Linked DNA regions of Drosophila melanogaster. The protein of the gene in region 2 binds, or shares a complex with, the protein of the main gene of each other region. Each region holds a gene or a part of one and is shown on either strand. Other genes may lie near its edges. The genes, in order: Nup58 and Nup153.

Region 1 (4,314 bases), on a different chromosome or scaffold from region 2:
AGCACCGATGAAATGAACTCGCCGCAAAAATCTTATCACGCAGCAGCTGACTGCAGTGCAGATATGAAAAATGCGAGCAGGAAGAAAGTGAGGAAAACAATTGAAACACATGACTTTTCGGATAAAACAACAACGTGTATTGGGCAGAACACAAAACAATGATAATACAATCCCGCGCGAGTGGGAGGCAAACTAATATGCTCGCTTTTTTCTACATGGAACAACAACGAATTTTCACTTTAATGTATGGAATAATAATACAGCAGTGTTTCCAGTTAGATTAACCACTATTATTACGGGTCTAAATTATGGATTAGAGTTGAACGTGGACATTGAATTTACAGCGCACAGTTTGGGGGGCCACCTCTTTACTTGTGGTTGTAGTTTTTGTGCACCTCGGGCGAGATGTTGTACACGTACTGCAGGATCTCCAGGATGAACGGGTCCTTGCGGGTCTGGATGGCCCGGTCCATGTCGGCCAGCTTAACGCGGATATCCGCATCGATCTTGGCCGCCACGCCCTCGCGACTGCCCATGTGCTGTAATCGGGGTTCACACGGTATTACATGTACATAAGTTTCCCTATGTGGCGTCTTACCTTGGCCTCGAACTCCTTGAAGGCGCGCTCGCGCTCCTGGCGGAACTTCTCGATCTCCTCGGTAGCCTCGTCCTTGGCTTGCTTCAACCTCCTTGCCTTGCCTGCGGGATTACCCAGAAATCCAGATGATCATATCAGTTCAACTTGGCAAATCAGCCCTCCGCAAGATGACCTTCCATAACTTAAAGTGCCAACTCGCACAAAAACTATTTACTGCACTTAAGTTGCAGTCTTAGTGGCCACAAACAATTTTAATTTAATTTAATTTAATTTAATTTAGTTTAATTTGATTTATATCTCGAGTTATGGAGGATTGACTTGTATTTACTTTTTTCCACCACATCATGTGACCCACACACAACGGTGATGGTGGTTATGGTAGCACGGGGGCGGGGTGGTGAAAAAATCGCAGTTACTTGTCGCCCTGCCATTTCCAATTGGATTTTTGTTTCTGAAAATGAAACTTACGTTTACGAGCCTCGGCGACCTTCTCGGCTGCCTTTTTCTCGGCAGCGAGCAACTGCTGGATTCCCTGCGTCTGGCTGGCCATAATTTCCAAACTTCTCTAATTCCTCGCCGTGGTGTATACTGTGCAAGTCGAAAAAAGCAAGTGCGACAGAATCACAATCGACGACGAACTGTGAAAAATGTCATATGACGAAGTCACACACACGCAAACTCACCACGGTGGCTAGTTGGTGTGGGTAAGCAGTGTGCCGGAAAGCTGGGTGCTGCGAAACTCTTGGAGATGGCTCGGTCGATTGCATATCGATTAGCTTAGTTGTATATTATTGTTTGGTATTGTATTGGCCAGAAGTATTAAATAATTTGACGTTTTTGTAAGCATTAACTTTCTCATTTATTCCCATCATGAATATTTTTCTTTTATAATTTTGTAAACTTTAATTCATTTTAATTTAAATGCAGCGTTTAATCTGCTTCGCACTGTAATAGTTCCGGCTGTATTTAAAGCTATTGTAAGAAATTAGTTCGTAAAAAATTCTTTATATTATTTTAAAATTGAAATACATAAAGATTAAATTTTGAAATAATTTATTCATATTAATATCTGAAGGCTATCGTTTGATATTAAATAACAACCATGTTGTAGTGGACCGAACTCACCACACCTCAGACCAAAATTAAATATTTGAAAATCACAAATCGTAACTATATGAAGCTGCAAATACTTTATATATCTTTAGCCATAGTGTATTTATTTCAATCAATTTGAATACTTTGTTGATATTTTTCCGAATAAATCTCTGCTGACTAGCTATCGATATCACCGATAGTGTCATCTCTGTCCTAGAAGTTAAACCACAGATGCTCAGGCATTAAACAAAATTAATTTCGAAATTTGTTGCAGTAAATATAGTTTAATTGTTTAAAATTCCTGTATAAATCCTTAAGAGGGGTGCCTAAAGATGTTTACGCCCACCACGAACAACGCCATTGGAGGCGCCACTGCTGCTACCGGCGCTTTTGCTTTTGGCGCGCGACCGGCGACGACGACTGCTCCGCCTCCATCCTTTGGAGCAGCCACCTCTACGCCAACCTTCGGTGCTGCTCCGGCCACCACCTCCTTGTTTGCAGCTCCCGCGGCCACACCGGCCTTTGGGGCACCAGCTGCTACGCCGGCTTTTGGAGCACCTGCGTCCACGCCTGGTTTTGGCGCCACTTCCACTGCGGCGCCGGCTTTTGGAACGGCTGCTGCCACGCCCGCTTTTGGCATACCAGCAGCAACGTCGGCTTTTGGAGCTCCAGCTGCTACGCCCGCTTTTGGAGCTGCAGCTGCCACTCCCGCTTTCGGAGCACCCGCCGCCACGCCCGCTTTTGGAGCACCCGCCGCTACATCCGCCTTTGGAGCACCAGCAGCCACAACGGCGTTTGGAGCGCCAGCTTCCACGCAAGCATCGGCCTTCGGAGCACCTGCACCAGCCGTGGGCACTGTGGCTCCCACTTTCTCCTTTGCCACCCCGGCCACAAGTGCGCCGACCACCGCGCCGCCGGCCTTTGGATTCGGCACCACCGCCACAACGGCGGCAGCTGCGATGCCAGCATCCCTCAGCTCCGGAATTGGATCGTTTTCCTTCCCCAAGCCACAGGCCACCACGGCGGCCAGCTTGAACTTTAACACAACCACGACGACGGCGACGGCACAACCCTTCAACACGGGTCTGAAACTGGGAACCACCAATGCGACGACAACCCTAGGAGGAGGAGGAATCTTTAGCAAGCCAGCGGGTCAGGCAGCTGCCCCGGCAGCATCGACTTTCGTGGGTCTGGGGGGGATCGATGTGACCGCCACGCAACCAAAGCTGGGGGACAATAAGCAAGATGGCATCAAGGTGCTGACCATGAGTCTTTCACAGAGAAACAAAATAATCATTTTATTTTCGACCACTCCAGATTAAGGAAACCCAAGTGCCCGACGAGATAATAAAAACGGTGGATGGCCTAAAAGCGTATATCAAACAGCAGAAGACCATCTCCTCTGACATTGGACGGACATCCACCTCCAAATTCACGAATGTCAGCCACGAGATCACGAACTTGAAATGGGCGCTGCAGAATATGGCCACTTTAGTTGAGGGCAGCAATCAGCAGATCCGCCTGATGCGCCAAGAGACCGTCAAGGCGATTCAATCTCTGGAGATGGCCCAACGCACGCAGGACACCCCAGCCGGCCTGCAGTTCGAGAACAATGCTCCGTTCCAGTACTTTCAGTGCCTGGTGGCGAAGTACGAGCAGGATTTGATCGCCTTTCGCCAGCAGATCGCTCTGACCGAGCGCCACATGCACGCGATCTCGAATCCGCAGAGTATTTCGCCGGATGATCTAAAGCGTGGCTTTCGCCAACTTAATGAGAGTTTCATCTCGCTGGCGGGACGCCTCCACGAGGTGCATCAGCGGGTGGAGGAGCACAAGGAGCACTACCTAAACCTCAGACGCTACCGCCTGCGAGACACCACCAACGTTTTCGAGCGGATTGACAATCCTCCGCTGCCGACGGTGGAACCTCAACGGATTAGTAGCGGTCCAACGCCCTTCTCCAACATCTCGGCTCTGATGAACAAGTCCTATGCAGCGGCGGCCAGTTCCGCCAGCAATGCGACAGGCAATTGAGAATGGCACTCTTTACAAGTTTCAATAAATCGTTATGTCGAAAGGGGCCTAGACTTTCACTTTCAGTTATAGCATAGAATATATATTTCACACGCAACAATCTTTATTTCTTCACCACCTGGATGACGTCCTCGTCGGCCATCACATGGGCAATCCCCACGCGCTGCGGCGAGTATTTCGTGGAGGTGCCCCACACCAGGGCATACTTGAACTGCGCCGCCAGCGTGCGATGGATGGCATGGCACACATGCTCCACACTGACGCCCTAAACAAGGAATATATAAGGAATTAGAGTTGCTTTACCAGGCTGAAGAAGGAATTGGATGAATGGAAAACAGTCTCTTGCCTTTCTCAGAATCAATCCATCGTCAAAGTCTGGAGGAGCGCCTGGCTTCTTTGTGTACACTCTGATGAGCTGGAGAGCTTCCCAGAGCGCCTCCATCATGTAGTCCAGATTAAGTTTCATGTTGCAACTAACCACTATCGAGTTTGGCTGGCGCGCCAAGCGGTCCACCTCCTCGATGGAGATCTGATCGATCTTGTTGTAGACATACAGACAGGGCAGATACACACGGTTGGCGGTGACC
Region 2 (4,848 bases):
CGTGGAACGTAGATACGGGGTGGCTGGCGTACCCTGGCGCTGTTGGCGACTGCTTTGATGCTCCTTGATGCTGCTCCCCATTCGCTTGGCATCGATCAATGGCGTGGAGTAGCTTTCAAGTAGGTTGAGAATGCGCATCGTGGTGTTCGACAGCCCGGTACCGGGTTTCTTACTGCCACCTTGGCCCACAGATGTCTCCGCAAGACTGCCGGAGTCTGAAGGTCGCATATCTACCGCTTTCATACCGTATCCAATACCACCAGTCATGGAAGCATGCAGCTGATGCGCCGGTGAGCTGCCGGCAGAATTGAGTCCCAACATTGAGGATGCGGCGGATGAGCTAAGATTGCTGCGACTGAAGAGGCGATTGTTGCCGGAATTGCCCCCGAAGGTGGTGCGTCCCTGGTAAAAGGGCGAGCTAGAGGCAGATGCAGAGCCTGAGTTAGAGGCACTGCCACTAAGCAGACGACTGTCGCTCAGTGCCGACGTACTGCCGTATATGGACGCATTGAAGCGACGTCGTTGGGTAAGGGAATTCAGCGACCACGTAGAATTCCGATGCGATTGCTGTGCGGCGGTGTTGCTTCTGTTAAATATTGACTTGGAGCTCTGCAGATTTCCGTAAAATTCTAAATTGCTGTTGCTGTTGTAATGCGACGGACGAAGTCCGTCGTGCCCTTCACCATTGTCGTGGTATTCGTTCATATCGCTCTCGGACTGCGAATCACCGCAACCTCCTGCGGCCGCAGACAGTTCACTTCGTCTTGTTTTTGTCTCAATGACATTGTTGTTGTTATTATTATTATTATTATTGTTGCTAGTATTGTTGTTGGTCCTGCTTATTCTCAGCAAATGATTGAGATGTTCTTCCGAACTCATGGCCGGGCCAGTCCCCGTCTCATCCATGGTAAGATCGCGTCGATGGGTTTGCTTGCCTATGAGCGATGGTCGCTTGTGGTTAGGAAGGCTGGATAGGCTGTTGTTGTAGCTGGTAGCGGTGCTGCTGCCTCCGAAAGGTATGTTCAGTGAACGGCGGATGCTAAAATGATTTAAATGATTGCCTTATAATTTTCACTAAGGTTTTCTTCTTTTTCGTCTTGGCAATAGCCTGGCTATGCAACGCCCAAATTTGAGTTTGTTTGAAACGAGCTCTAAGGTAGTTATCTTTTTGAATTCCATATTAACACTTTTAGTAAGCATGACTGCAGTAACATACCTGTGTGGCAGATCCCCGGTGCTTCCCTCGGCAGCTTCGTTGCCCGTGAAAAAGTTGTACGCGGGTTCGCGCTGCCGTTGACTACCATACAAATTGAGGTGATTGCGCCGATGTGGCGCAATGTGGCTGACGCCCTTGTACATCTGGGAGCTGGAGGAGCTGGTGGCAGCCGCGAGCGGAGCAGCAGGCGTGGATGACAAAAGGGGCAGACGACGCATGTTCGGCAAATTGACGGGGGTCTCCAGCTGAAAGGGATTCAAGATTAGTTGGGAAATGTAGACAGGATTGAAGATGTGATCTTACCTCCAGGCGTCGACGCTTGGTCTGCACGGCGGCGGACTGTTGGAGATTCTCCTGCTCTTCATCGTCATCCTCCTCATCGCCATCCTCGTCGTCCTCTTCCAGTTCATCCTCCTCGGCCTCATCCTCGTCACCGCCGGCAGCTGCAACAGCCCCGGCTCGCTTGCGCAGCAGGAACACATTGTACTCGCTCCGCCGCGTCTGTTCATCCTCGGCGGCCAGGTCGTGTTCGGCTATGTTGTCGGCCAGGGCCACCTCCTCATAGTTGAGGCCTTTGGCATCGGAGCCGTCATCAAGATCATCGGCTGCATCGGCATCCACTTCGGCTAGCATTATCCGACGGCGTCCTCGTTTCCGCTTGGTAGTGAGGCGTCCATTGGACTGGCGTGGCTGTGACTGGCGGAGATTAGCTGGGGAGGATAAGGCATCGTTCCCATCTTTGGACGACGGCGAAAACCAACCGCTCAAGGAGGCGGGCAGAATGCTGGACACGCGCATCTTCATCTTCCCCATGATGGACTGCAATTGCAATTGCACGGAAGTTGGATATTTGATGGGAACCAAGTTATCGTCGACTGTACTTACGTTGTTGCTGTCAGACTCCCGTAGGGCTCCCGCCGAGGATTCATCCTCTTCCTCCTCCTCCTCCTCGCTTTCTTCAGGCAGCTCCTTGAGCGGCGTCAGCGGATGCTTTTTGGCCAATTCGGCTTGCGAGGATTCCCTTTGCTCCTGTGCATCCTCCATTATGCCGCTTTAGATTCAGACTCACCTTTTTAGCCGGCGAAGCAACGGCACAAAAGAGAGATGCAAAAAAAACGCGAAAAAGAAGCGTTGCCGCACACACAACAAAAAACGTAAGTAAAAAAAAAAACCAAAAAAAAAGCACACACTGTTGCAATTCCTGCGAGCTAGTTTGTATGTGTAGGTGCGGATAATGTTCGCTCACTCGCTTCGTTCTCACTCTCTATCCTGCCTTCTCTCTCTGTCTGTGCGTGTGCAAAGGTGTGAGTGCGCTTACGCACGCCGTCGTGGTTTTTTTTGTTCGCGTTTCGCCGAGGTTTTACACACGCCGCGATATTTTTAAATAATATTCTGTTTGGCGCCACAAACTGGTCGCGTTTGATCAGGATTTGACTTCTTGGCCACCAATGAAGAGCAAATTCTGGGCACAAGCACTGCAAAATTAGAGGCGGGAAAAAGGATTGAATACCGAATTCGGGCGAAGCGCTCGAGGTTCTTGCTTTTGGCTTTGCCCTTACCGCTTTCCAGCATGCCGCCCGTTTTCTTCAATATTTGTTTTACTTTTGCCGGATAGATTTGATATATATTTGATATATTTTCACCTTCCTTTTGTCTTTGTGCTTCTTCCACTTCTTCCGCACACACTGCTTTCGCAATTCTTCGTTCCTCTTCTTCACGCTCTGCTCACACACACACGCGCGCAGCGATTCGGTACGAATTTTGGCGTTTTACCGCCGCGAAATCCACACTTTTAATTGCAATTTAACATTTGCCGCTGGTCGCATTCAGGTTTTCCATTGTTGCACGAGAACACGCACCACCGATTTGCAAGAAACAGAATTTCAAAAGAGCACGATTTGATTGGGGAAAAAACGCGTGTGTGGCCACAAAGTAGAGCTGGAACCAAAATCGATGTTTGTCAGATACTATCGGCGTGTCGGGCAGCGTGTGCTAATCGATACGTTGCCTGCAGCTATCGGTTACATGCACGTTTACGGTTTGGAAGTCTGTAATTATTAAATATTTTTAATTGGTGATGAACTGCCATACGGGCTTATTACTCAAGAACCGCTTCAAGTGCGACTTATAACATATGTAACCATTTGCTTGTGTTGTCATTTGAATACTAAGCATTTGCATTGACTAAAAGGAATTCTCGTTTGTATCTTTAAGTTGGAGTGAGGTATTTGTTTAGGTTTTTACTTGGCTGTGTGATAATGCAAAAGTTTAAATACTGTACTAATGTTAATCGATAGTTGTCCTAAAAAGAATTTCCAGCGAGTTAAAATTCAGCGAGTGCTAGAGTGACCACAGATTCTGCATTAGAAATAAAGCAAATATAATAAACGAACATAATATGAGCGCCAAATATAAAAGCCCTTATTAAGGTGCAAATATGACAAAGAAATTATACAGTATAAATGTTAAATAAATCTTAAAAAATGGGTTATAGGGGAAACCATATTGTTTTGGTTCAATTTTAGCAAGCCATTTTAAAACAACTTGAATTTACTACTAGATGAATCAAATATGTTACCTCTTAACGTCTAAGAAATTTACATTTTTAGGGCTGGAAAATAAATACCGCTAGTCGATATCGTCATCTTCTCAGTTTTGCCATCCCTAGTTGTTGTTATTGTGTTCGTCGTGTTGTTGTAGCACAGTTGTTGTTGTTGCTGCTGCTGGGCAAACAAGTGTTAAAAACTATTTGTGCTGCAATATTTTCAGCAATTACCGACCGCCCTCGCCGCTGTTCACCACCCAACTTAACCAGCAACCCAGATTGGAGCAACAAAATCCACAAAGGCATAAAGAATCGACTTACACAATAAAACCTTAATCGGTTGGGTAAACAACTTGATTGCTGTGAGCAGCCAGTTGGGTTAATCTCTTCGATTTGTCAAGTCCAGCAACAATGAGCCAAACGGAGGCTAGCAAGACACCCAAGATTCCGGACTCGGAGCCGGACGGATCGAAGGGCAAAGGGAAGCAACAGCTGGAAACTTACCGGGTATATGTGGTCACCTGGAATGTGGGCAGTCGATTTCCGGATAACATATCCCTCCGCCATCTGCTGGGACTGCAGGATGTGACGGTGGATAAGGACACGAAGGAGACTAATGCCCACTTGCCGGACATCTATGCGTTGGGGCTCCAGGAGGTCAATGCCCAGCCGCAGCAACAGGTGTTGGGACTGTTCAAGGAGGATCCGTGGACGCACAAGGCTAAGGAACTGCTACGCAACTACGACTATGTGGCCGTAAAGACCGAGCAGATGCAGGGGCTGCTGCTCAGCATGTTCGTGAGGCGGCAGCACGTTGAGCACTTGCAGGACATCGAGGCGGAGTTCACGAGGACCGGTTTCGGTGGCATTTGGGGCAACAAGGGCGCCGTCAGTGTCAGGTTCACCCTTTACGGCTGCGGACTGGCCTTTGTGGTGGCCCATCTGACTGCCCATGACCATATGATGGACGAGCGCATCGAGGACTACAAGCAGATACTGGAGAACCATCACTACCACGTCAAGCGGTATAGGGAGATCTACGATCACGACTATGTCTTCTGGTTTGGCGATCTGAACTTCCGACTGC

What was found.
Region 1: Nup153 (region 2) and Nup58 share a complex: the UniProt entries of both Drosophila melanogaster proteins name them as parts of the nuclear pore complex.

What each region holds. Positions count from the first base shown.
Region 1 is NT_033777.3:19,643,140-19,647,453, forward strand, and holds Nup58 (nucleoporin 58kD), read left to right. Parts: upstream 1-1,886; 5' UTR 1,887-2,025; coding exon 2,026-2,949; intron 2,950-3,010; coding exon 3,011-3,727; 3' UTR 3,728-3,767; downstream 3,768-4,314. Other genes in the region: Vha13 (vacuolar H[+] ATPase 13kD subunit), read right to left, coding at 369-539, 599-699, 1,067-1,148; CG6195 (uncharacterized protein), read right to left, coding at 3,831-3,992, 4,074-4,314. UniProt on the Drosophila melanogaster protein: Component of the nuclear pore complex, a complex required for the trafficking across the nuclear membrane. Together with Nup54, required for transposable element silencing regulation in ovarian follicle cells.
Region 2 is NC_004354.4:16,597,567-16,602,414, reverse strand, and holds the start of Nup153 (nucleoporin 153kD), read right to left. Parts: upstream 3,175-4,848; 5' UTR 2,776-3,174; exon of another isoform or gene 2,692-2,775; 5' UTR 2,261-2,691; coding exon 2,102-2,260; intron 2,036-2,101; coding exon 1,520-2,035; intron 1,462-1,519; coding exon 1,217-1,461; intron 1,040-1,216; coding exon 1-1,039. Other genes in the region: CG9784 (uncharacterized protein), read left to right, coding at 4,173-4,848. UniProt on the Drosophila melanogaster protein: Component of the nuclear pore complex (NPC), a complex required for the trafficking across the nuclear envelope. Functions as a scaffolding element in the nuclear phase of the NPC.